Linked DNA regions of Lonchura striata. The protein of the gene in region 1 purifies or fractionates together with the protein of each later gene. This does not show direct contact. Links are inferred from orthologs where the notes say so. Each region holds a gene or a part of one and is shown on either strand. Other genes may lie near its edges.

Region 1 (5,151 bases):
TAAGTGTTCAATTCCATTTAGGAGCAGAGTGCCTGTTGGGTTATAATCGGATACACAACTGCGCTGGTACTAAAATGCCGTACTGTGCTGAGTGTTTTCGGGAGTCATTATCTGGGCCTTTTCACTCACTGGATCACCAAAGGTTCCCATTAGATTCCTGATAGCATGTTCCTTATAGTAAAGGAGCAGAGATGCTACATTCACCCTTGGTCTTGGCAAAGGCTAATTACGTTCACCATTATACTAGCCAATTGGGTGGTATTAGATTGATACAATACATACATACACATATATATTAGACTAGCTAGATTGGCTTCCCTTGTATGTTTATCCACAAAGGTCACGAGAGCCAATTAGCTAGACTTGCCTATGAAGGGGGAGCTGAAGCAGAAGCCCAGATTCCAGACACTGGCTTCCTGCTCTTGCTACTGGGTCAGCATCCTCTGAGCAGGATTTTATTGTTACAGTGCCTTGAAGAAATACTGTAACAGCACCGGGGGTCCTGTTTTGTAAATAAAGTTTTATTTTCCAGACAACGTCCACTGCATGTCCCAGAGGTAGGTAGGAATGAAAATAACGGCTCCTTACTGAGCAGCTCTCAGGCTCAGTGTCTTGACTGACCCCGGGCCGGTTACTGCCCGCTCCCCCCGGCCCAGCTCCCCGCGGCCGGCCACGCCTCTCGCGCCCTGCCCTCCTCCCGCCTCCTCCGCGGATCGCAGCTCTCCCAGTGAGCAATGAGGTGGCCCTGAAAAGGGCCTTTGAATTGTGCCGGGAGGGCCGGCCGGCCTAGTACTCTTGCGACTGCTGCCGGCTGCCCTTCTTGCTGGTCTTCTTGGGCAGCAGCACAGCCTGGATGTTGGGCAGGACGCCGCCCTGCGCGATGGTAACGCCGCCTAACAGCTTGTTGAGCTCCTCGTCGTTGCGCACCGCCAGCTGCAGGTGACGGGGGATGATGCGCGTCTTCTTGTTGTCGCGAGCCGCGTTGCCCGCCAGCTCCAGGATCTCGGCGGTCAGGTACTCGAGCACGGCCGCCAGGTACACGGGCGCACCCGCCCCCACCCGCTCTGCGTAGTGCCCGCGCCGCAGCAGTCGGTGGACGCGCCCTACCGGGAACTGCAGCCCGGCCCGGGACGAGCGAGACTTGGCCTTAGCGCGGCCCTTGCCGCCGCTCTTGCCACGGCCGGACATGGCGCTCGCCGCGCTGCTGAACCGATGCGCCCGGGAGGCCGCGGCCGGGATTTTTATAACCTCCCGCCAAGTAGGGGCCAGCTCATTGGACAGCGCCGCCGCCCCTAGCTATTGGTGCGTTTGCCGGAAGAAGCTTTTTGCTGACTGGTCGCTTCTGTGATACCAACGCGCTTGCTCTGAATGTGTTGGCCGCGTGGTCCGGCCAATCAGCAAGCGAGGCGCCAAATTTAAACCACGCCGAGCGATCGCTGGGGCTCTGCCGCCGGCCCTCAGCGAGCATGCGCGCTGCCGCCGGTCCCTCCGCGCCTCTCGTGCCGCCCTCAGGGCGCACCGTGCTTTATGAGGGCTGGGGACAGTCCCTGCGCCTGGCTTCCACCCAGGGCAAGGTAGAGGGGCTCCCGGGATGCCTACAGACTGAAAGGTATCCCTGTCTGTTGGGCATTTACCTTAGGGTGGCACATGGGGGGAAGAACAGTTAGGGATATGAAAAAACCTACCATGAGATCCTTTTGTCAATGTGTGAGATACATCATGGGTTTATAATACAGGTATATTAAGAGAAGCACCAAAGGAGAGTGAGGAGTCAAAGTGGACTAGGAGAAAAAAACCCATGGGAACATTGAAGGAAAAATAAAAGTGAAGAAAGTGGTAATGTTTTAAAATGTTGCTGATCAGTAAGAATTATCTCTGCAGTCTGTGCTGTCTTAATTAACCCAACTTGTATGTTTTTTCCCCCAGAGTGAGCAGACTGTCTATGCTGTGTGCCTCTGGAGGTCCAGTTGCCAGCAACTAGGATTAGGACACAAATCAGAGCAGCCAGTGTCGTTCCAGAAAATGGGAAGACTTCAGCACATGCAGGAAGGGCCCAGGGCTAGGTGGAATGCAAGTGTGAGTCATCCCTAGCGAAGGAGCAAGACCTAGACAGCAAGTAGGATAATGGGCTTTGGAGCCCAGGACCAGATACGGGAGCAGCAGGATGCTTACTGGAGGTAAGCCAACTTTCTGAGGAAAATGGAGTGGCTGTCCTAGAAGTACCTATTGGAAGGCCACATTCCTAGGTCAGCTAGCAGAGAGATTTCTCTGTTCATATTCCTTGATACCAGGAAATCTAGCAGCTGGTTACTGGACAGACTGTTTAAGGCCAGGAACTGAATGATTTTGTTATGAACAAAACAGCCTGGCTGGGACACTTGGCTCGAACTAAGTACTGACATTGAAATGTTAATTACCCAATTGCTCCTGGGAATCACCTACACCCCCACCCAAACTAGGACTGGGATGCAGAAGAATCCAGTGGAATCATGGGAGGGGGTTTTGGGGATGAAAAACACCCCTAAATGTAAAAGAGGGGCACAGTGGAGGGGGCTGGATGGGTGTGCTGGTTGGGGAAAAGGGAAGCCCATCCCTAGTCTGTGTTTGACCTGTCACCATGACCTGCTGAGGACCAGATTGGACTGGGCTGTGGGAAGCAGGCACAAGGAATCAGACACTTTACCTGGTGTTACCAGGAGGGCAGGAGGGGGATAGCTGCTGCTGGACCTTAGCAGCAGGCTCTGCACATCCCCCCAGCCTTCGGAGGAAAGGAGAGAGGATGGTCTGCTGGGACTTCAGATACAGACTGGACACCTCTGCACCTCCGGCTACCAGCGTGCCACTCCAGGGACAGACTCTGCAGCCTTCTCACCCTTCGGCTACCGGAAGAAGCTACACCACCCCTGTGCCGAGCTGACTTTTTAATAGAGCTGAACACTAATAAAGGCATGGACCCTGTTCATTTCAATTTCATGATGTCTATGTGGATGTGGTGATGAATACACTGTACTAGTAGACTTACAAACTGATCTGCTGGAGGGAAGGAAGAGGCTTCAGCCACTTGTACCATTCATACTTGAGTGCTGTGTGTTTTCTGTGTTGATCAGTGCTGCTGGACACAGGCATTTTTGCCTTCTGGTAATGCATTCCAAGCCTTGTTACTAGCCGAACTTGGGTGTTGGGAGGTGCAAAGACTATAATCTGGTACCCCAATGGCTGTTCTATGTTTTTTCTGTAGCAATTCTGTGTTCAACTGGTGCTAAATACTGCTCTATAAGTAGCTATTTGTAATCGAGGAAAAGGGATTGGCAGTTAGCCAATCAGGGCCTTAGTTCTACATTAATAAAGGATCTATTGATTCCCTCTTAAGACAAGGATGTGGTGATCCTCACTCTGCTAGCATGTCCTCTTCCAGGGAGGAAGGCAGACTATAAAGGTATTCAGAATTAAAACCTCATCAGCAGGAACATTTCCAGTAGCCATAAAAAATAGGGAGTCCACTGCAGAAATGATCAACTGCCTAAGAGGGTAGAAAGCTACAGATGGATATAACCTAGTTTCACTGCCTGTCAATATTGTCGAGGCAAAGCACTGCAGGGGAAAGGGTACCATGAATTGTTTTATTCTTGGAGCACTCTGAGCTTTGAGTATGGGTTATAACATGTCATTCTATGTCCATGGACCAAAAACAGGATTGAGAAGCCAGGAACGGAGTCTGGTTTCCTTATTTTCCTCACAGAAATTAAAGTTGCTGTTTTCTCTCTTGGTGAACAGTAATGACTTTGCTAGATGTATAGAGATTCCATCTTTCCCACTTTCCCTAAGTGCTGTCATTTGCTTCCCCTCTAAAATGTATTCTTAATAACACCGATGTCCAAGTAGCAGTGAATCTTTTCTACCACAGAATTGGACAAAAGCCTTTGGTGCACAAAGAACATCCTGGTTCAAAACTAGCCCATGCAAAGCAGTTGCTTGCATTTTGACAGGTATTCTGAGGATCCCAGAAGGCAGGAGCAACATCAGTTGAATCATTTGGTCAAGCAACTGGAGGAGATGGCAGGTAGAACTCTTTCCCTTGCTCCCAACAGTCCAGTCAGACATCATAAAACAAGCGCACTAGTTGGTACCGGATTGAAAATGCAATCGTGCTGCCAAGGACCTAGGTAAAAATCAGACACATAACAGAAACATTATACTGTCAAATGGTTTACAGGCTGTCAGATTCCTCTTTTCCAAATGGATTTGCTAAACTTTCCAGTATGCCTTGTTTCATAAAAGAGCAACTAAAAGGCTACTTCTTTTAGGTATAGGAAGATAAATGGCAGGCCAACCAAAGACATTGTTTCTTTCTCTGATGATTTTAGATATCAGTGGGAGATTTCTCCATGTTCCTGCACACAATCACATTCTAAGAACACGTGGATGAGATAAAAGTTGGAGTAACTCCTTCTCCCTTAAGGAGCCTGTATTGTAACATAAACCCCGTGGTTTGTATTAGAAAATACCTTATGTCAAAGCTGAAATTCAGCATCCTTACTATAAGGTGCTGTCTGGACTTCTCTGCTGTGACTGGGTAAGTGCTATGTACTTCCTGTCTTCTCCCATCCCCGATGTCATCTGCCTGAGCCCTCAACAGGCTTTCATTGCAAGTTTTTCCTCTCAAATCAGAAACTGCCTGTCTCTTTCCTAGTAAGAATACCTTATCCTAAATCTGAAGATGAAAAGAAGGATTTTATTGTGGGCAGTTAATCAATGCAGGCCTTTCCAAAAAGTGATGTTTTTACTACACTATGCTCAAAAATTCACATGCTGAATAGAGGCAGTGGCAAGATCTGTGAAGCATATCCTTATGCTCCAAGTGGCTTCCAAATGCTCCCACATGCCCCTCAGACTGAGAAACTGCTGAGCCGTGTGCCATGCTTACAGAAGCCCACTTGCTGGTGACAACTCTGAGACTGTTACTTGGTATTACTGAAAAACAGGACATACCAAAAGGCTGTCTTGAGCAAGAGTGACAAGGCACTCTGCTGTGCTCATGTTTTCCTTGGAATCAATTACTCGTGCTTTGGGAATCTTCTTAAGCTAACCTCCTGACTTTTTTTTATAAGCTCTCAGTGAACAGAGAGCTGTGTGTGGATTTCTTTTCTCCTT
Region 2 (6,967 bases), on another chromosome or scaffold:
TACCTCAATCCTGTGATTTACAAAGTATAGTAAAAATTCCATTTTGTAAATTTGTTTAAAATGCAAACTATCTAATTATGGTCTAGAGCTCTACACATGTATCTAGAGATGTGGCTACACACTATTTATGCACACCCAAAATCCTGCCTTTCACCCGGAACAATGCAGATGATATCAAATAGAGAGGAGGCTGAACACAATTTTTGTCAATCAAATTTGTTAGACTTAAATAAATCTGAGGTGCCTTACCTAAATACTTACAATGCACCTGAAATGGAAAATTATTGGCTGCCATGCCTAGAATAGGAAAGTGATCTTGTAAATTACAGAAGTAGCCCTAAAATCAAGAAAACCCTTGTGACAACACCCTTCCATAAATCAACCTCAAAGCTGTAAAGCAGCCTAAGCATAATATTCTGAAACCAATTTGCATATTTCACGCTTACATTTTTCTTAGTAAGCATAAATACTAGAAACCAAATAACTGCTAATATCACAGGATGAAAAAAACACTAAACAAATCAAATATCAAACATTTTAAGCAGCATTTGAGAATTAATTGTTGCACTGAGAAATCCACTATATTGTTTTCCATGGATGCAAGACAATGTAAGTTTCTGCTTTGCAAATACAAACTCACCAGCAAGCAGGCTGGAATAAAACCATCTTCTGTACAGTGCTCTGCATATTCTTTCAAATCTGAACTTTCCAGAATAAATTGATGGCAGGTAGCTTGAAGATTTTCCTGTTGCAAATAGCCTGCAACAAATTAGATGGAAAATTTTGCTATTTCATTCATTATTTCTGCTCAATAGGTATCAAATCTGAATACAGTGCTGGAATAATCAGATAAAAATTTCCATGTAATAAAAGGGAAGTGTCATTATTTTGAAAATACATACGTTCCTACCAGATATTTAACAGTTAAAACCCAGAAGAGAAAAAAATATAGATTGTAATGACATTGTATTTTCAAAGTACTCAAAACTGGAAGTGAGGCAATATGAACAAATTTTAGTTTATCTTTACACACAAGAAAATAAATGTTCTCAGCTCAGAAGGCTGACAAACAAACCCTCATATGGGCTGAACCACCCTATTTGATACTTCAATGGAAATCTACAATATTTTGTTAATGAAACACCTTGCTATGTAAGAGTAATTCTCCACACATTGTACTGTTTCAAAATAGGTAAAACCTGTACAGCTGCTGCAATAGTGGATAAGATATATTAAAAATATTGGCACTGTACAAAAATTAGTAACAGAAAAGGTCCCCCCCACACACTTACAGAAATTTTCATTTAGGATAGATGTACCAGATGCAAATTTTGCTCTCTACACCCTATGAATCAGTAGTTACCATCACAGAAAATGTACTGACAAAGTTTTCTTTTCGTCAAATATGTTCTGCTTTAATTAAACATTTTAACCCTGCTTTAATCTTCAAACACCTTAAACACTAAAAGATAGAAATAGACCAATCTGAATGAAGGATTCTAAAACAAAGAAACACAGAGAAAATGTTTCTTCCTTCTCGCTCCTAGCAGAGCTTAGCATGGAATGTTTTAAGGATAAAATAAAACATGTGCCTAGTTGTACAACGCAGGATATATACATTATCTATTTCAATGGACCCCCAAAATGCTCCACCTCAGTTCATGAATACCTGCAGAAAAATGTGCCCTTTAAGTGCCGTTTAAATGAGAACAAATATCTTTCAGCAGATCTGAGTACAGCTGAAGAAAACAAATAGTATTTCCATCATGCAAGTCTTGTTCATGTCTTCAACAAGTAGGCAAACTTGAAAATTAAACACAGCCTGGGAATACCCACTGTGAATTTAATCACAATGTAAAAGCAGGCCTGACCTGACAGAAAACATCAGTAGTGCCTGCAGAAAGAAAAGGAATATCCTATTTAATTTTTCAATTACATTTTTCCTAGAAAAATCTCGAGCCACAAGTGGCTGAATGTGTATTTCTCCACAAACACAATGATATCTCACTATGGTCCAGGCTGGAAGATGGGGTATTAGGTTCAGAGGAGCTCTGATCTGTGCAGGTATGACTGCTCTTACAATCATCCTTACCTGAACACTTAACAAAAAAAGTTGCCGTTTTTCTTTCTTGAACCTACTACTACAGTATCACAAGTGATGACCGAATGTTTGCATACGGGCACGTTTGACATACACCAGTTTCCTGGTAATAAAGCATTTCAAAGGCTAAAAATGCCTGTGCATCTGGCCCAAACTGCTTGTGCACACACTGTATAATGACATAGGACACCAAAATCAAAGGCACAAAAGGTGTCCTACGTAGATTTTGAATGTATGGAAATTATTCAATATTTTGCTCTACCTTAAGAAATGTCTAACCCATAGTACACATTCACTCTATCAGATAGGAAAAGATAAATGTTCTTATGCATATCCTGTGTGTGAGCTCAGCTTATAATTTTAGTTTTGTTTCTTTAACAAATACTCATCAACTTTCACAGCACCAGAAAGATTTTGTGGGGGGCTTGGGGGAGAAAGGTGGAAGAGCTTGCACTGGGAAGTCTATTTACCACTGAAATTCAGAGATGTCTCACAGAAGAGGAATCCCTATTAGAGAATAAAAATGGTTACAAGGAATGTCCTGTTCTGCAACTTTAGGTTGCTCAGAGGTTTTCCAGACATGATGCATGCTCCGTGCCACAACAGACACAAGACAGGATGGATCATTCTCAGCACACAGGATGCCAAGATTGTGTGCTACATCTTCAGGTTGCTGGTAAGCACATAAGAAAAGCTTTCTACCTGGAAACTTGTAACTTCACCAATCTTGTTTGGAAGAGCGCAATGAGAGATCTCACTTGTATGAATTCAAATTTTCTTTTACAGTCCATGGAGTTTCTAAAAATCCTGTTACTTCACAGTAATAAAAAAATTGCATCTCTCACTAGCCTTTTTCTCAAGACAGTAGCAAGCAACAGTTCAGGTAGTATTTAAAAATAACTTGTGCTAGGGGAACACTTAAGAAGAGTTTCAGTTTTAATGTCTTTGGATTTTAAAAAACTGAAAACTGAATCTCACAGGGCAAGCTGCCAGGAAATCATGGCAACCTGTGCCAATAAGTACTTTGTACATGTGGGACTGAAATATGTGAGTCATATTTTTCCTTACCATCAATTTGCTCTCACCTTTGGCAGAATCCAAATAATCCAAAGCATAAAGTCATTTTTAAAGATTCACTGTCTGCTACCAGTGTCCTGAACACACTTACGCAGTGCTTTCCATAGACTCTGATCACGAGTCTGAACTCTTAAGTGCATCCTCAAAAGTGAGCGAAACACGGTCGAAAAGAAAAACCATCTGACCCTTAACGCAGCCCTCCCTGGGATTTCGGGTCACGCTTGGACTCCTGCAATCAGGAACTGTTGAAGCACGGCTCAGCAGCTCTCGGTGTGCAGGTGGGCACCGCAGACCGCCACGTTTCCCTGGACTCGCCAAGAAGCCGAGCCCAAGGCACGGCTGGGGAGCGGCCTGCTCGCTCAGCCCCGAATCCCCCAGCAGCGAGCACAGGCCGGGCCGGGGGGCGGCGGGCCGGCCCAGCAGCGCCCGGTATAAACGCCGGCAGCGACAATCCAGCCTGGGGGACCAAGAGACGTTGCCAAGGGGCAAGGGCGAAGCCGGCCGTGTCCCGCCGCGCCTCGGGCGGCTGACAATGCCCGGCACAGCCCTCCCGGTGCTCCGCGCCTCACCCAGGCATCCCTCCGTCCCTCCCGGCTCACTCACCCAGCACCAGCCGGGCCACGTCGGACGGCAGCAGCATGGCCCGAGGCGCAGCGGGGCACGGGCGGGCGCAGCGGGGCACGGGCGGGCGCAGCCGGCCGCCCCGCCACCCAGGCGAAGGCGCGGAAACTCCGCCAGCCAGCGCCGCGCCCGGCCCCTTCCGCCGGAACCCGCCGCGGCCGCTCATCCGCTTCCAGGTCCGCCCGCAGCCGCGGCTTCCACGCGTGAGCCCCGCTCCGCTGCGCCCCGCCGGGAGCGGGGCTGCGAGCGCCACGGCCGAGGTGAGGGGCTGGGCCCGGGCGGGGCGGCCGCGGCCCCGGCTGCGGCGCTGAGGGGCGGCGGCCCGGGGTTACCGGGACCGGGGCTGCCGGGACCGGGGCCGGGGCTGGCGGGGTTGCCGGGGCCAGGGCTGCCGCTCGGCGCTGCCTGCGTGCCCGTGCCGGGGCACCTCGCAGCGCCTCCGCCAGCTCCTCTCTCCGCCGTTCATGGTTTTGGTGCGCCCGCCTTCCCATGTGTCATTCATGTGCGCGGGAAGGCGGCCGTCATGGGATAGGTGGAAAACTAATCAGCAAGAGAAAGAGTACGTGGATTCATTCTTGGGAATTTCTCAGTGCTGCTGTTATGGTTGTTGGCAGCAGACGACCCTTGTTGCCGCAGTTTTCGATCAAGCGCATCAGAAGCCGCGGGTGTTTGAAAAGTTTGTTTCCGTTTCGTTTCCAGCAAGAGCATCGAGTCTGCTGGGTTGGGTTGTTTTGTGTTCCGGTGCCCAACCACCAGAGGGACAGAGAGTGGTTGAGCGCTGGCGCAGGCTCCCCAGGGAAGAGCTCTCAGCGCCAACCTGCCTGACTGCAAGAGCTGCTCGGACAACTCTTTCAGGCATTTGATGTGATTCTTGCGTCCTGCACAGGGCCAGGAATTGGACTTAGGGGATCCTTGTGCGTCCCTTCCAACTCAGGATGGTTCTTGAATTTAGTAAAGGAACATTTAATTTAAATAAGTGCGGTTGTGCAGTACAGGCAGCCTTCACACTTAAAATGTATTATTTTTCACACACATCTATGAGTCACCGAATCTCTGATCTTACTTAGTTCCAGCCTGATCTTGATTGACACCAAAGGAAATAAATGCAGTCTAAGACAGTAGATATTTAAAGTTTTGCTTATTTAAATGACGATTTTTGTATTGTCATGTAAGCACTCAAGATGCAGTGCTGTGCATCATGAATGCCTGTTCTCCCTTGCTTATTACATCCAGCAGCACGTGTTTGGAGTTACTTCCAGCTTGTGTGATCTGTCTTTTCCAAACAGGGTTTCTCTTGAGTCTACTTTAAGGGTGCAAAAGTAGAAGCAGAGGATTTAAATAGAATGTCATGGTTCTGATCTGCAACATCGTAACTTCATGTAATACAAGGTCTAGCTAATTCAAACCTCTATGGAAGAAGAAGCATACTTTTAAGTGATGACAGAAGGAAAAGTTGTTTTTTCATATGACTGATACTTAATCATCCTTTGGCATGTTTAGTCCCTGGGGATTCATCAATAGATAGTGCATACCTATGAAAATTTACAATGTGAGGGAGCATTTTCCAGGCGGTGCCTTCTCCTGGCAGTATCAGGTTAAGAGGGCTACTGAAAGTTAGGTCCACTTGCCAGAGTGTATTTAGCTCTGTCATTCTTACTATAATTGTCCTCTCAATTGTCTGCCCAGGTCTACTCAGCGCTCATGGGAAAGGGAGGAAGTCAGAATTATGTGATGGGGTTCTCTGCAGTTATTCTGTGACTGTTGTCTGTGGGAATAGATCGCATTCTTGACATGAAACTGCTTGAGTTTTCAACCAATAAGACTGACCCAGCTGCAAATGAGCTTTTTGGTGAAACATTGAACATCGTGGTTCTGTTTGATACTGGACTTTCAGTATACATTTTTACTGGGCTGCATGGTCAATAATTACTATTTTATCCATTTCTTCTGTGTGCAGATATAAATGACTCTTCTTTAAGCTGAACCATGAGTCTTGCATTACATGATCTGCTGGTTTGTTGTCGTCGCCTTGAAAATGAGAAAGCTGTGGAGCGAAGGGTAACAAGTTTTCTTTTGGGCAGTATACCTCAAATCGCAATGAAGGGAATCATAACAAATTATTCTTTTTGTAATACATTTTCAGAAGGAAATTGAAAATTTCAAGCAACTTCTCCGTGATTCTGAAACAGTTCTCCAGCTGGACCGGAATTCTGATTCTAAACAAGCAAAGCAACTCAACTGGGATGCTGTATTTAGGTAGCTTCTTGGTTTTGTTTGTGAATGGTCACAATTTTCTTGAATGGGACATGAATTTAAATAGAAGGCCAGAAAATCTATAGCAATTACATGACAAATACCGTGAAAAGTGTAATTTATTCATAGATCTAAGACATAATCCATATATTAACTTCGAATTATAAGGAAATAAGACTTAAAGGCTTTTGCAGTAAAAGCAATGATAAATACTTCTTATTATTTTGTTTTATAATGTTGCAGCATAAATAAAAATACTTAGCAATGCTTTTTTCTTAATTGTAAGTTGTATGTTTAGCACTGTGCAAAGTTTAAAGGAAAGTTTGATTCCTACTCCAAGTTGCTATGGGTTATTTTTAAAACTTGCGTCTCCTTTTATAAGCTGTTTTCCAGTCATGCTTGGACTGTAGTGTATTTCAGTTGGGTTTAGTCTTTGATAATCACAATTGTGAGAAGAACAGGAACTGGCATTTTAGCCTAAACCAACATTTTCCTATTTTACTTCAGTCATAAATGAGCAGATCCTTGGTTAATCTCTCCTTTATTTTTGAAGTGTCTTGCAGAAATATTTCCAGAAAGAACTTAAAAACCTGCAACTGACAAAACCAAATGCATCTGCTTCAACCCAAACTGCAAGACAGAAAAAAATACAAGAATTTGGAAGTTTGGTCAAATATTTCATCAGATGTGCCAATAAACGTCAGTAATACGTATTATCATATAGAGATACTGGTTTGGTTTGGTACTTTGCTTTCAACTTTGAATTTATCTTTGAAGTTACCAATGTAGGGCTCATCATATTTGCTTCCAGGTTTTTGCTATTTAAATATCTTAAGGTGAATCTGTCACTTGTGCTCCTTATCTGTCCTTTTTGGTGTTCACAGTGCCTTTTTCTAATTACTCAATGTGTCTATA
Region 3 (7,681 bases), on another chromosome or scaffold:
TGTCGTAGACCATCTGCAGGTTGACACGGTGCCCCACCAGCTCCCGGATGTTGTTGATGCCGTATTTGATCATGGTGGGTCTGGGGGGGAAGGTGAGATTTGGGGGGTCAGGGGGTGGGATGGGCCCACATTGGGGTCCCCCCCCGCAGGTGAACCCCCCCACTCACCGCTCCAGCGACAGCCCCCAGGCGATGACGGAGACGTTCTCGGGGAGCCCCATGGGCAGCAGCAGCTCGGGGCGGAAGACCCCCGAGTTTCCCACCTCCACCCACTTCTTCAGCCCTGGGGGGCGAGGGGGGCAGACGAGGATCAGCACCCACAGACCCCCTCCCCATATCAGAACCCCACAGCGCTCCCCCCGCTCCAGGGGAGCTCAAGGTCATCCCCAGACCCCCAGCTCTAAGAGAAAACCCCCCCAAGACCCCCCTGCTCCAAGTGGGGACCCCCCCTCACCCTCGTGGTAGCTGAACACCTCCATGCTGGGCTCCGTGTAGGGGTTGTAGGCAGGTTTGAAACGCAGCTGGGAGATGCCTGGGGGGCACACGGGGGGTCAGGGGGGCACACGGGGGGTCCGAGGGGTCCCCCCCAGTGCCCCCCGTGTACCCAGCTTGGTGAAGAACTGCCGGAGGATGCCCATGAGGTGGCCCAGGGTGAGCCCCCGGTCGGCCACCAGCCCCTCGACCTGGTGGAACTCGGCCAAGTGCGTCGCGTCCAGGCTCTCGTTGCGGAACACGCGGTCGATGGAGAAATATTTCACGGGGGCGAACTTCTCCTGGGGTGTGGGAGGGGAGATACACGGGGATGATGGGGGGCAGCTGGGACCCCCAGACTGCCCCACAACTGCTCTGATCCTCCTCAAGCTGCTCCGAGCTTCCTGAGCCCCCAACAACGCTGAGCCTCCTAAACCGATCTGAGCCCCCCGAATCCCACCCGCACCCAAAACCCACTAATCCCCCCCAAAAAATCCCTCTGTTCCCCCTCGTGGGAACCCCCCCAGACCCTGCCTGGGCTCCCAAAGCCCCTCAGACCCTCCCCAAGCCCCCAGACCTGCCGTGCCAGCTGGAACAGGGCGCGGGCGCTGGCTGACGTGGTGTGGGTCCTCAGCAGGTTCTTCCGCGCCTCCTCCACCTTCCACTCATACCTGTACCTGGGGGGGGGGCCAAAAAGGGGCTTCAGAGGGGTGGGGGACACACACGGGACCCCCCTGAATCGCCCCCCAGGGTCGGGGTCTCACCCCTGTGAGCCGTAGCCTCCCTGCGAGTGCACCTTCTTCACCTTGGAGTAGTAGCCAGGGGGCAACTGGGGGGCTTCAGCGGGGTCTGGGGGGGGCAAAAAGGTGAGGGGGGGGGCCTGGAGGGCTTTGAGGGGTGTTTGTGGGGGCTCAGGGGAGCTTGTCAGAGGGGTCTGGGGGATCAGAGGGATGTGGGGGATCAGAGGGGTGTGGGGCAGTGTTGCGGGGCTGTGGGGGGCTTGTCAGAGGGGTATGGGGGATCAGGGGGGTGTGGGGCAGGGCTGGGGGGCTGTGGGGGATCAGAGGGGTGTGGGGCAGGGCTGGGGGGCTGAGGGGGGTTCAGAGGGATGTGGGGGATCAGAGGGGTGTGGGGCAGGGCTGGGGGGTTCAGAGGGGTCCCAGGGGGGTCAGCAGGTCCCCGTGCCCCCCAGCACCCACCCAGCAGGAAGAAGGTGTCGTGCTGGTCACGCGCCGGGTGCTGCTGGGGCTGGAAGAGCGCGTCGAAATTCCAGAAGGAGCTCTCCACAAAATTCTTCGTGGGCATCTCCGTGAACCTGGCGGGGCCCCCCCATGATCCAGAACCCCGAGTACACAAAGTGAGGCCCTGGGGGGCTGCCGGGGAAGGGGCTGGGGCCCCCTCTGAACCCCCATTTGTGCCCCCCAAGGCCGCAGCAGATCGACAACGACGAGCGCAGCCCCGACCCCCTCCCTGCTCCACTCCTCCGACAGCTTTGGGGTCTGAGGGGGGGTCCCCAGGAGCTGCAGGTGAAGCCCCCACAGGTGAATCAGGCCCCCCGGCCCTCCGCTCACCCCATCTCCAGGAAGATCTGGCGCAGCTCCGAGCGCACCTTGAGCAGGGGGTGCAGGTGGCCGCAGGCGGGGGGCAGCCCCAGCGAGGAGAAGTTGTAGGGTTTGAAGGGCAGCTGGCGCCAGGAGCCCCTGCAGGACGGGCCAGGGGGTCACTGCAGGGCTGGGGAGGGGCCTGGGGGCTCGAGGAGGGTCCTGGGGGCTCAGGGAGGGTCTTGGAGGGTCAGGGAGGGTCCTGGGGGGGTCAGGGAAGGTCCTTGGGGCTCAGGGAGGGTCCTGGGAGGGGTCAGGGAGGGTCCTGGGGGGTCAGGGAGGGTCCTGGGAGGTCAGGGAAGGTCCTGGGAGGTCGGGGAGGGTCCTGGGGGGTCGGGGAGGCTCGGGGAGGGATGGGTGTCGCCTACGTGGCGATCATCTCCGGGGTCAGCTCCGTCTCCGGCCGCGCCACCTCCGTGCTGAAGGCGCTGCCCTTGCGGATCCAGTAGGATTTGAGGGTCCTGGGGGAGGGCAGTGAGAGCATCGGTGACCCCCCATCTCCTCGTTAATTAGCGCTAATTTCATTAAAGGTCGGCTTCACGGCGTTTTTATTTAATGCTTCGCCCGCAGGAGTTTGACACAGTTTAATTGGGTTGTTAGATCGCTGAGGTTTTAATTTCGCTGGGGTTAACCGTGACAAACTTCAGTTAAAAAAAAACCCACAAAGGTTTAAAAATGGGGTCGGTGAGGCCCCAAAAACCTGTTAGACTGGACACTGCCAGCCTGACAAAAGCACAACGAAAGGCTCAAAGAGCGTGGACAGAAACGAAAACTGATAAATCAACAACCCCTAATCTAATTAATGAGTGAGACTGTGAAATTTGGAAGTAATTAATTGGCTCTGCCCCACTCACACTTCCAGGAGCAGCTTCCTCCTCTTGAGCTCGGCGCGCTCCCGCTCGGGCAGGGCGCCCCCGGCCCTCACCTGGCCCAGGTGCTCCTGCACCGTGTCCTGCACCGAGGGCACCTGGGGGGCACGGGGCTGGCAGACCCCTCCCCAAATACTCCTGACCCCCAGGGACCCCCGTTTGTCACCCCCGAGGACCCCCACCCATTCACCCCCAGCCTGCTCCCGGCTTCCAGGGATCCCCCCCGCCCCCCGCGGGACATCCCCGGGAATCAGAGACCCCCAGACCCCTCCTCAGGACAACCAGAGACCCCCAGACCCCTCCTCAAGGCACCCCCTGCTCCCAGTGACCCCCAGTCACCCCACCTTGGGCCACTCCCGCCTCCCGGGGACCTCCGTGCCCCCTCCCCGGGGCACTCCCGCCTCCCGGGGACCCCCGCCCGTTCCCCCGGGCCACTCACGGCGCGGAGCACGCGTGGGCCTCCGGCCGCTCCCTTATCCAGCCGCACCCACTTGTTGGCCATGGCCTTGCTGAAGCCCAAGGAGCCCCCGGGCAGCTTCTGCGAGGACACAGCAGCCGTGAGCAGCGCGACGACCGCCGGTGCCGGTACCGCCCCCCGCCCCGGTGCCCCCGGTACCCACCACGGCCTCGCCCTGCGGCAGCCCCTCCTCGGGGATGCTCCGGAACAGCCGCACCTCGGGGCTGCCGTCCCGCAGCACCTCCTCGCCCTCGGCGCTCAGCTCCCATCGTGTGGCCGTCCTCGCCTCCGCCTCGATCACCTGCACCGGCACCGGGGCGGGGGGTCAGCACCGCCCGGTACCGGCGCCCGGGGCTCCCCCCGCGCCGCGGCGGCCGCACCTCGCCCAGCGCCTGCAGGCTCTTGACGGCGCCCACGAGCGCCTGGTGGTCGACGCCGAGCTGGGCGGCGGCCTCGAGGCTGCAGAGCCCCGCGGCAGCGCCGGGCTGGCCCAGCCGCTGCAGCAGTCGCTCCGCCACGCTGGGCGCCATGGCCGGAAGTGAGCCCGGAGAACCGGAAGTTCCGTACGGCGCCGGCAAAGCGCCTCGCTGCGGGCGCCATCTTGGGAGTGGCGCAGAGCCCCGTGCGGAGCGTGGTGGGCGCCATGTTGGGTGTGGCGCGTGCGCGTGTGGGGGGGTCACGCAGGTGGCTGCGGGGGGGCGCAGTGACGTCAGGAAGTTGCAAAATGACGTCACGCTGTCCACCGCGGAGCCCAGCCGGGCTGATATGGCCCAGGGGTTCCTTAGAGCAGCCCCCGGCCCGGGTCCACCATCCTTGCGATCACACCTGCCGCGACCCCACTTAATCCATGACATCACCCCCGCGTCGCGGCGCTGTGTGAAGGGAAAGGCGAGCAGGAGGCCGCCCTACCCCGCGTGCGCCTTGCTCCCTCCCCATATTCCCGATTTCCCCTTAAATTCCCTCCCTCCCACCTCCGCTGCCGGGCCTGTCCCTTTAAGAGCGCGCGCCCCACGTGACCCCCAGAGCGAGGCGGGCGGGGGGGGGCGTCTCCCTCCGAACGCGTGGTCGCTCCTCATTGGCCACCGCGCTCAGCCAATGGGAAGCGGCCATCTGGGACGCCAACGTTCGGGGGCGCCGTCGCCGGCGGCGGGCGGGCGGGCGGCCAATGGGAGAGGGCCGCGCGCGGCCTCGGGCCAATGGCAGGGCGGCGGAGGCAGGGCGAGGGGCGGCGGGAGTATAAAAGGCGGCGGCACCTCCTCCCCCCTCCGCAGTGCCGGGCGGCGCCGGGCCGGGACGGACGGAGCGAGTGTTCCTAAACCCCCTCCCCCGCCAGCCATGAGCCCCCTCGGCGTCCTCGGCCCCGTCCTGTTCGGAGCCCTCCTGGCGGCCGCCGGCCCCACCCAGTTCTTCCGCGAGGAGTTCGGGGATGGAGGTGAGGGAGGGGCCGGGAGGGGGTCGCTGAGGGCGGGGCCTGAGGGGGGGGGGCTTTTGAGGTGAAGGGGTTGAGGGGGGGCGGTGCCTGGGGAGTCTGAGGGGAGTCTGAGGGGGAGGCAGGAGGCTGGGAGGGCCCTCTTGTGTCTTGTGAGGGGAGAGAATGGAGAGACCTTCCCGTCTTTTCTGAAGGGAGAATTAGGGGATCCTCTTGTGGTCTGTGAGGGGAGGGAATGGGAGCACCCCGTGTGACTTGTAAGGCGAGAAAGGAGGGAGCCTGTTGTGTTTTGTGAAGGGAGAGAATTCAGTGACCGCCCCCCCCCTCACCGTGTTCTGAGAGGGGAAAATGGAGTGATCCCGCTGTGTTCTTTAAAGAAATAATGGGGGGGACTGATCTGTGTTCTGTGAGGGGAACAGAACAGAATGGGGGCACTCTGCTGTGGTCTCTGAGGGAAACGAGGAGGGGATCCTCGGGTGTTGTGTGAGGGCAGAGAATGTGGAACGTGCTGCTCCCTGAGGTGACAGGGCGTGCAGGAGCCACTCCTCAGGTGTGGGCAGCGAGTGGGAGTCAGGGCAGGCAGGACGAAGCTGCTGAGGAATCCCTGAGCCAGCAAGGGTCACTGGAGGGACAGGCTGAGGGGGCTCAGCCTCAGCAGAGCAGGTGGACAAGAGAGAAAAGAGCAGGAAAAAGGCTCGTGAGGAACGCAGCAGCCACATGGAGAGGGTTCCTGGCGGGTGGGGGGACTCAGCTTTCCTCTGCGAGCCTAAAACCATCCAGCAAAGAGACCCTGCCCCAAGCCCTGAGCTGGGCGGGCAGGAGGGCTTTGGGGGTGCTGATCCTGCCCCCTCACAGACGCCTGGACCCGCCGGTGGGTGGAATCCAAGCACAAACCCGACTACGGCCGCTTCGTCCTCACCGCCGGCAAGTTCTACGGCGACGCCGAGAAGGACAAAGGTGAGCCGGGGAGCACGGCAGGCGGAGGGGGAAAGACCTCGAGGCTGGGGTTTTCTCCCCCTTCCCCAACCACGCCCCACGTCCCGCAGGGATCCAAACGAGCCAGGACGCCCGGTTCTACGCGCTGTCGTCGCGCTTCGAGCCCTTCAGCAACCGCGACAAGACGCTGGTGGTGCAGTTCACTGTCAAGCATGAGCAGAACATCGACTGTGGCGGCGGCTACGTCAAGCTCTTCCCGGCCAGCCTCAGCCAGGAGGACATGCACGGCGACTCCGAGTACAACATCATGTTTGGTGGGTGTCCCCCAAGCCCCCCAGGGTGGTCTCAGCCCCTTTCCCTGACCCTGAGTCTCCCCCTCGCCCCCCAGCCCCCTTGGGGTGGTCTTTTCCCTAGCACCATGTCCCCCCAGCCCCCCAGGGTGGTCTCAGCCCCTTTCTCTGACCCCATTGCCCCCCCTTTGCCCCTCAGCCCCTTTCCGTGACCCTGTGTCCCCCCCAGCCCCAGTGAGACAGAGTAAAAAATGTAATAAAATAGAAATATATTTAGCGTAACGTGAAATCAGCAAAATAAATATGTATGAGCCTATTACTAAATTTTATGCTTGTAGAAATTAGTCAGGGTTATAAAAAAGGATCAGGAGTTCCACGGGTTCACATGTCCATTGAAAAGTGATGAGTCCCCACATGCATCCACAGCACTGTAAATAAATATACTTTTGCCTACAAATCTTTGTTAAAATGGTGAAATTTAATTTTTCTCCATGTTTCGCCAGGCCCCGACATCTGCGGCCCCGGCACCAAGAAGGTGCACGTGATTTTTAACTACAAAGGGAAGAACGTGCTGATCAATAAGGACATTCGCTGCAAGGTGGGTCTGGGGGCTTTTGGGGGTGGGGGGTCCTGCTGTCCCCTGCTGTGTAGGGTCGGGGGGGGGGTCTGCAGCCCTGCTGAGCCCCCCCTGTGCCCCCCAGGACGACGAATTCACCCACCTGTACACGCTGGTGGTGCGGCCGGACAACACCTACGAGGTGAAGATCGACAACGCCCGCGTGGAGTCGGGGAGCCTGGAGGAGGATTGGGATTTCCTGCCCCCCAAAAAGATCAAAGACCCCGAGGCCAAGAAACCTGAGGACTGGGATGAGCGGGCCAAGATCGATGACCCCGAGGACACCAAACCTGAGGTGGGGAGGGGGCTTGGAGGGGCTTTTGGGGGGGGATTGGAGGGGTTTTAGGGAGGAACCTGGGGGGTCTCCAGGAGATTTGGGGGGGTGTTGTGAAAAGGTCCTGGAAGGATTAGGGGGAGAATGGGGGGGACTGGGTGAGAGGTGGGGAGGCGAGGGTGGTCCTGGGGAGCCACAGCAGCCCCCTGAGCCCCCCAACCCACCCCCCTTGCAGGACTGGGACAAACCCGAGCACATCCCGGACCCCGACGCCAAGAAACCGGAGGATTGGGACGAGGAGATGGACGGGGAGTGGGAGCCCCCCGTGATCCAGAACCCCGAGTACAAGGTGAGGCCTGGGGGGGCTGCTGCGGTGTTGGGGGGCTGCTGGGGGAGGGGCTGAGCCCCCTCTGAGCCCCAACTTGTGCCCCCCACCAGGGCGAGTGGAGGCCGCAGCAGATCGACAACCCCGACTACAAGGGCAAGTGGGTGCACCCTGAGATCGACAACCCCGAGTACAGCCCCGACCCCCTGCTCTACTCCTACGACAGCTTCGGGGTCATCGGCCTCGACCTCTGGCAGGTGAGGGGGGGTCCCCAGGAGGGGTCTCGGGGGGTCCCCAGGAGCTGCAGGACCCCCCCTGACTGCCCCGTGCCCACAGGTGAAGTCAGGCACCATCTTCGACAACTTCCTGATCACGGACGACGAGAAACTGGCGGAGGAGATCGGGAACGAGACC
Region 4 (7,355 bases), on another chromosome or scaffold:
TATCTGCAGAGTGAGTGACACCACTGTCACTCTAATGTCCTTAAACCCTCTTCTTCAATGAATATGTCACCCATGTGATGAGCCCTGGAAGAGAGGCTATGGAGTGTCCTTGCCTGGCCATGCTCAGTCTGTGGTGTGGTGAGTTCTGCCAAGGCTGTGTGCAGAGCTTCCTGTGGGCTTTGTTCCTTTTATTTGGGGCTAATTAACAAATTACAAGCACCCTCCCCACCTCTCTGAACCTGGTGAGATGAACTGAGTCATGAAAAGCAATATACTATTGGGTTTGGGTTATAACTATTTAAAAATCCATTTTTTTGCCTTTTTCAGAATGTTTTTCCAGGGTTGGCTTCCCCAAAAGTTGCAGAGTCACTAGTGAGAAGTTTGGCACTAACAGCTTCAGTGAACTGTGGAGAGCTGACATAAATATTAGGCCAACTCTGTATTCAGAAAGGAACAGATGAGGGTTTAAATTCACATCTCTGGGTTTTATTCTGCATTTTGGTGTACTAACTATGCCATGTAAACTCAGCCACAGAGCCTCTGCCCAAGCACCTGTAAGGGGGAGGATTTGCTATGAGACTGGGAATGCAGAGATTTGGACCTTTGTACCACTGCTGAATTCCCTCAGGGCTGCAGTGTGCAAGTCAGTACCTTGCTACACCACAGAGCTTTCTTGCCCACCAGCAAATGACATGAACATTTAAATGACTTGCAGCAAGCAGTTTGGGTTCACTCACCACTTCCAGGGCCTGTGGATGGAGAGATGCCAGCTACAGACTGTTTGCTGCAGGATTCCAGAGCAGGAATGCCGGGGAGTAAAATAAGATTATACCTCAGACTGGGTGGTTGCTGGGGAGTTAAAAAGGCACAAGTTGTCAAGAGACCTTTCCAGGATTCCCCCTCAGTCTGTGCAAGCTGGAAGACAGGGCTTAGTTTTCTTTTGGAAAGCAACAAACATCTGCCATCTAATTCTGGTTCAGAGCAACCAAAACCCAAAGCTGATGTTTGAAACAGGTAAGGCTGCAAGGATAGTGCTGAACTCACATCACAGGCCACAGAGGGACTAATTGTTCTGGGTTTCCTCAATTGCTCTGGAATGGCTGATGGCATGACTAGTCCCCTGCTTTGTCCCCCAGGCACAGGGGTACACAAAGGAAGGGATTCTTCTCTCTTCTCTGCCAGAACTGGTGCATCTTGATTATTTGCTAGTTCTTCAGGGTTGGATTGACCCTATTCACAACACCCTGACTTCCCATAGCCACCTACAGTGCAGCTCCATGAAGAGTTTCACTTCTTGGAGCAGATGCTTATCCTTAACACCAGATCCTCTGTCTGTACTGTGCTTCAAAAGATCACAGCCCAGCACTACTTAGCTACTGCAGGAGAAAGAAAAGTGCAATTTATTTTCAGCTAAAACTGAGCTGGTGATTTTTGCTGCAGCAAACAGAAGCTATTTCCCAAGTTGCTTGGTTTCTGCTGCATCCTACACAAATGTGATGGAAATTGCAAATAATCCTTGGCTCAGGGGTGGGGGAAAAAAATGAAAAGAAAGGAACGTGAGATCCAAGATCTTTAGCAAGCTGGTTTTAATGCAAGGCACCCAGGTAGCCCAGTCTGGTCTCTTTGGGCCTTTTTGTCACACTCAACCTTCCCACTCCAGAGCAGATAAAGGGAAAGAGGCAAGACAAAGACAAAGCACATGTGTGTGTTTTCCTAAAAATCAACTACACTGCCTGTGTGAGGCAAAATAAACATATGTGCACAGGGTAATAACAGTAGCATGGCCTCTGCAGGCAGAAATTTTTCTGAGCATTTCCCTGTTGTAGAGGTCGTGGAACACACTGAGGGCGCTCAGAAAGTTTCTTACTGATAAATAAAGCTTGAAGATTTTTAAGACAGACCTCCCCCTGAAAGCCTGGGATTTAGCAAACATGTAGGAGCTGTTCTCTGAGAGCTCCAGAGAACAAGGTATTTACTGGAGGTGGGCACATCTGTAATATATCATCCATTATATGCTGCACACTAATGATTGGTCAGGGTAAGAAGTCTAGAGCATCAGGAAATGTAATATTCCATCTATAAGTTAACAGCTCACCTACAAATTACATCAGATTCAACTCTGTCATCTTGCCATTGATGTGGAACACCCAGGAATTTCAGCCCAGTGTGGAAGGGAAGCGACAGACTGATGGGAACACGCTGAGCTTCAGCAACCTCTGGCCACTGAACACAGGAAAATGCCAACAAGTTGTAAGTGGAAAAGCTGGATCCCTTCACTTTGCTCTGTCCCCAAAGGGGTGCTGAAGGAGCAGAGCAGGGCAGCCTCCTTGCCAGGCAGGCTCTCCCTCTGCATGGTCAGGGCATCCTCCCCTCCCAGCTCTCAGCAGCTGAGATTAATCCTCTCCTTGGTTCCAAAACAAATTTATTTTGTCTTGGCCCAGGACTAAATCAGATCTTGCATGTACCTGTTCAGCTCCCATCACAGAGAGCTGTAACTAGTCGCATTCTGGGATTTTCTAGCAAAGATTAAAATTGAGAAATCTATCCAAAATTTAAATTACATCATCTCAGAGCATCTAGGGCCTCCTCTCAGGCATTGCTTGCCGTCTGGCACTAACCCAAATACCTGCAGGCTATAGCTTCTTCCTGGCTAGAGGTGTCAGATCATTTTGGGCTGAGGCTGTAGTGTGTAACATGAGACCAAAGAACAAAGCAGTGCAAAGCACACATAACCTAGGGTGGGAGTTGCTAGAGATATTCCGGAAATTATTCTCAAGATACATTTTGCTTATTAGCCTCATCATGTTCAGTTGCCAGCTGACAGGACATATGTCATTATACTTCATTATTCATTCCTAGTTACTATATTATAAAATATTTAAGAGCTTTACAGGACATTTTTAAGCACCCCTAATAATGTTAAGTTCCCTCAATTCCTCTCAATATTTGTATTGTGAGAACTCCTTTAACCCATCATTCTTAACTACCAGAAAAAAACACTGCAGTGAACTGGGATGGACAAGGCAATGAATGATTACCCCTCTTTCCATCTCTACACCACAGTAGACCCAATACCCAGCACTGAAAAGCTGGCTCTACTGCCAGATCTCAAGAGGGAAGTCACTGAGGCACTGCCAATTCTACAAGAGAAGCAGCATGTCTGTCACCAGACAGGTTCAGCAAGACAGACTGAACACCTCCAGAATCTGTCTCCAGCTTCTGACTTGGAAACATTGGACATAACATACCACATTTCCACAAGTCCCACATCACCAGTGGTGGGACATCACACATACGATAGTCACCACACAGACACATGCCATCTTTAGGAAAGTAATTTTGGGGTGAAAGTACTGAAGATCCTTCTCTGAGAATACATGAGCTGTTACTTTTGTTAGATTCCAGAGGCACAGTTGCATCTGCACCAGATGCGACTGTGGTTTGCACAGATTCCAGCCGCACAGTTGACATGACCGTAGGAACACGTGCAGGTGCTCTGGGTTTAGTTTCACACAGCACTCTGGGACTCAGCCTGACCCAACCCAGCACACATTGACTTCCACGTTATGCAACAGCATGACAAGCACGTGAAGCCGGCCCAACACCATCGGTGCCAACAGGCTGATGTCTTCCTCACTTATCTCTTTATTGTGTCCAGCCGGCACTCATCAAGAGCCTGATCAAGAAAATCTGGTGAGCAGGCAAGTAAGACTTAATCTCCGGTTAATTACAGATTAGCAGCTGTAGAGCTGTGTCCTGAGATAAGCCTGACCCGTAGCTCCCGCAGCCGCATGGCTTCTCCTCCTCGCCTCGGGCCTGGAGGGCATCGCGGCCAGCCCCGGTCCGGGGGCTCACACAAGGCAAAGGCTCGGAGAGAGCGAGAGGCCGCAGGGGCGGACAGGGCCGCGCCGGGGTCCCGGGCGCGCCGCGGGGAACAGGGGCAGCCGCAGCCCCGGGCGCACCGCGGGGAGCAGCCCCGGGGTCCCGGGCGCACCGCGGGGAGCAGCCCCGGGTCCCGGGCGCACCGCGGGGCGCACCGCGGGGAGCAGCGCCGGGGCAGCCCCGGTGTCGCCCCCTCAGCCCCGGTCCCGCCCTGCGCGCGGGGCGGAGCCGAGCGCAGCGGCCCCGCGCGCTCCCTTTGTTCGGGCCGCGGGAGGCGCTGCCCCTTTAAATGCCCCCAGTCCGGCCCTACCGGCGCGCCGGGTGGAAGGCGCCCCGCGATTGGTTACGGCGCCTCCCTCTCATTGGCCGCCCGGAGGAATGGCGCGTCCCGCCTCTCGCATCTCATTGGCTCTGCCGGCTGCCCGTCCGCAGCGCGGGTTTCTGAGTGGGCGAAGCAGCGGTCCCTGGAAACAGTTCCGGGAAACCCCGCGTGCTGCCGGGGTCGCGCCGCCGTCCATGAGGAGAAGGAGGAGCGCGCGCCATTTGCCGTCGCTGCTTGGGCCCGAGCTGCGCCGCGCCGGCCCCGCTCCGGTGAGTGCCGGGGCCGCCCCGCGGGGCAGGGGCGCTCCGCGGCCGCGCCGAGCGCTCCTGCGTGGGCCCCGCGAGGGGACGGGCGGCGCGGGTTGCGGGCAGGCCCGGCGCGGGCGGGGACGGGCCCGGGGAGCTGGCGCGGCGGAGCGAAGGGGGGCGGGGGCCATGGCGGGGCTGCTCCACGGGCAAAGCGGGCGGGCGCGGGCGCGGGAGCGGCGCCGGGGAGGGGCCGGGGGCGGGCCCGGCGGGTGGGGGTGGGGGGCGGCCGGCCCGCTCCGCCCAGCCGTGCGGATCAGGGTTGCATGTGACGGGCGGCCGGGACGCGCCTCTCCCGGGGCTGTGGGTCGGGTCGGGTCCCTGCTCGGTCCCTCCGGGCTCTTAAAGCCGCAGCAGCCCCGGCTGTTGCGGTTGTGCGCGGTCCGCTCTGTCCGCGGGCGCAGAGGAACGCTCTCAGCAGCGAACGCGTCGCTGTCGCAGCGCGCCCTTAGATCTTGGGTAGCGCATGATGTGCTGGAGCCGGCAGGGACAGCTGCGCCCACCCGCAGCGCTCGGCTCTGCGCTTCCTACTTCCACGGAGGGAATAACGCTTGTCAAGTGCTTAAAGGGGAAACTAGCCAAAGTTTTGTTGTTCAGACGTTGTTTTTCTTGAATTAACTTTTGTCGAAAGCCTTTACTAAATCTTGAAAAGTTTTGTTTAAATGCATCATTGTTGCAAATACTTTAAAAATAAGACTTTATTTACTCGGTCTGAACAGCCTTGTTACCTGTCAGTATTTGAACATGCTACTTAAGTACATAAGCTGTGCTGGACTACTCTTTTTGAAACAGTGTGTTGGCTTCCCTTTCCCATGTTTATGGCTCTGAAGGATCTCACCGGCACTTCGTGCTGCAAAGGACATTAATGCTCATGAAGCTGGTGCTTCGGTTTTTTGATTGGTTGGGTTTTTTCACTTTGAGACTACACTTTAGCATAGTTTTTTGTTTTTTACTTGTAAAAGTAATCTAATGAATTTTGCATCTCACAGTGTTAGGTGTTTTTGTAACCTGTGTAAAATGTAGTGTTTGCAAACGAGCAGTGTCTGCTTGAAAATTTTGCTTCCTTGAAATTGTGTTTCCCACAAGCATTGCATGTCCTTATTTCTCAGTTTTTCTAAGTGAACACTGTTGAAATAATACTCGAGTCGCCTGCTGGCACTTAAGTTCCTGGTTGAGTCAAAAATCCCAGTATTCCCTGCTTTGTTAGACATCTGCAAAATTCTTTAAGGATAAATTCTTTAGAACAAAGCTCATTTCTTTTGAAGTGTTGCTTGGAACTGGAGTACTGAGAGTGTTGTTTAGTACAACTCGGACAACCAGATGAGCTATGAATAGCCAACTCCAGTGAGAAATGAGCATGGGCAGACGGTTTAGATTAGCAAAACAGAGGAGCTATTGGTGCAGTCAGTGTTTTTTAATGGCACTGATGGGCGCGTTGCTAACTTGCTGTGCTAAAGTCATCTCCCAGTCATAGTTGTGTGGGTACTGGAAGCAGAGTTTGTTTCTCTCTGGGCTGTGCTGGTCCCTTGCTTGGCATTGTACTGGAGGTTGTCAGATTTTTCCAAGGGGCTGTGGAGTGAGCAAGGCTGAGCTGGAGAGGTGAGGGTGCCAGCTGCATTTTGGCTTACAGGTAGTGAGAAATCCTGGCTATTCTGTGAAGGTCTTCAGGCTGTGTTTACTTCAAAATAAGGTTTCATGTAATTCATGCCAAAAAACACCTAGCATATCATAATTAAGTTATTAAAAATGTGCTTTCTGTGTTTGAATAAGATATGGTATAAAAGAAATGGCTAAAATGCCTTTATGTACAAAATAAAGGGCCCACCCTTTTGTACATGCCTTTGTGTACAGAAATATTTCTGAACAAGTGAGGTTTTAATAAAACCCCAGTTCAGATTTTAAATGTGAATTCTTATTTTCCCCCCACTTGTATATTTATCTTCCTTGCTTGACAAGAACCTTCTTGATGTGTGAGGCATAACTATAGGGACTGCATTTGTTCCCTTGTGGTCAATTAAAACAACAAAACCAAACAAATGTTCCTCAAACTTCCTTCAGTGTTATTTTTAACATGATTTAACTTAACTGCTTAACACAGATAGTGTATTGATTCGGAGTAGCAACATAAGTGAGTGGAATGACTTTGGTGCAGAGTTTTTATGGATGCATTGGTTGGCTTCCTGTGCACCTGAGCTAAGCAAGTCCCATTCCTGCATGAAACTAAGCTTTCAGCAGCAAAACCAGTATTGATGTGTAATCACTGAAGTTTGTTGTGGTCATTTTAGATATTGTCCTCTTGCCAGAAATTTTCTGTTCCTTCTCAATTAAGCTGCTCCTAAGCATGTTTTGAGTTAACTAGACTGAATTTATAATTAATTGGATGGAGTTATACTTAGATAGTCTGTAGGTGGCAACCTCTGTTAGAGGCATGGTATAAGATAAAGGAAATAGTAACATCATGGCTGTTTATCCAGTGATTGTCAGATTAAGGCTGTGATCAGGTATCTCTTTTCAAGATGCCATAAACCTTGAGGACCACACCTCTGTTAATTTTTTTGTTTTCCAGAAAAATAACTAATTGAGCCATATAAGTTATGAAACACTGGAATCGCCTGTAGTTTTAACTTCCTACTTGTCATATGAGAGCTTAAAAAGGGGGCTAGTAATTTTGTAAATTACTCTCAAGATGCAGGAATTTTGGATGAAAGATAGTGAACAGCTAAAACCATGCTTTTTATCATGAAGTATTTACAGTTTTCAGCAAAGCATTGTTTGCAACAGCAGTGTGAAACTTGAAACAAGACCTCTCCCGGTGTGCAGTTAGGAGGTGTGAGGGTAGGCAACAT

Evidence for each region.
Region 2: the proteins of H2AX (region 1) and ATM purify together in Homo sapiens (affinity purification with western blotting; 11 studies listed by BioGRID and IntAct, with this or other methods). This does not show direct contact. The link is inferred for Lonchura striata from reciprocal best matches to the Homo sapiens genes H2AX and ATM.
Region 3: the proteins of H2AX (region 1) and CALR purify together in Homo sapiens (affinity purification with western blotting; 3 studies listed by BioGRID and IntAct, with this or other methods). This does not show direct contact. The link is inferred for Lonchura striata from reciprocal best matches to the Homo sapiens genes H2AX and CALR.
Region 4: the proteins of H2AX (region 1) and HNRNPR purify together in Homo sapiens (affinity purification with mass spectrometry; 3 studies listed by BioGRID and IntAct, with this or other methods). This does not show direct contact. The link is inferred for Lonchura striata from reciprocal best matches to the Homo sapiens genes H2AX and HNRNPR.

The regions. Positions count from the first base shown.
Region 1 is NC_134625.1:11,116,739-11,121,889, forward strand, and holds H2AX (histone H2AX), read right to left. Parts: upstream 1,207-5,151; 5' UTR 1,189-1,206; coding exon 787-1,188; 3' UTR 501-786; downstream 1-500. Other genes in the region: DPAGT1 (UDP-N-acetylglucosamine--dolichyl-phosphate N-acetylglucosaminephosphotransferase), read right to left, coding at 4,094-4,159. UniProt on the Homo sapiens protein: Variant histone H2A which replaces conventional H2A in a subset of nucleosomes. Nucleosomes wrap and compact DNA into chromatin, limiting DNA accessibility to the cellular machineries which require DNA as a template.
Region 2 is NC_134604.1:44,467,452-44,474,418, forward strand, and holds the start of ATM (serine-protein kinase ATM), read left to right. Parts: upstream 1-3,949; 5' UTR 3,950-4,059; intron 4,060-5,756; 5' UTR 5,757-5,785; coding exon 5,786-5,857; intron 5,858-5,942; coding exon 5,943-6,055; intron 6,056-6,605; coding exon 6,606-6,751; intron 6,752-6,967. Other genes in the region: protein NPAT, read right to left, coding at 641-759, 3,782-3,818.
Region 3 is NC_134623.1:1,279,489-1,287,169, forward strand, and holds the start of CALR (calreticulin), read left to right. Parts: upstream 1-4,674; 5' UTR 4,675-4,732; coding exon 4,733-4,829; intron 4,830-5,681; coding exon 5,682-5,783; intron 5,784-5,872; coding exon 5,873-6,076; intron 6,077-6,555; coding exon 6,556-6,650; intron 6,651-6,753; coding exon 6,754-6,963; intron 6,964-7,177; coding exon 7,178-7,291; intron 7,292-7,380; coding exon 7,381-7,524; intron 7,525-7,603; coding exon 7,604-7,681. Other genes in the region: FARSA (phenylalanine--tRNA ligase alpha subunit), read right to left, coding at 1-80, 168-282, 454-531, 604-772, 1,048-1,147, 1,235-1,319, 1,670-1,785, 2,042-2,170 and 5 more. UniProt on the Homo sapiens protein: Calcium-binding chaperone that promotes folding, oligomeric assembly and quality control in the endoplasmic reticulum (ER) via the calreticulin/calnexin cycle.
Region 4 is NC_134628.1:5,309,204-5,316,558, reverse strand, and holds the start of HNRNPR (heterogeneous nuclear ribonucleoprotein R), read left to right. Parts: upstream 1-4,329; 5' UTR 4,330-4,398; coding exon 4,399-4,473; intron 4,474-7,355. UniProt on the Homo sapiens protein: Component of ribonucleosomes, which are complexes of at least 20 other different heterogeneous nuclear ribonucleoproteins (hnRNP). hnRNP play an important role in processing of precursor mRNA in the nucleus.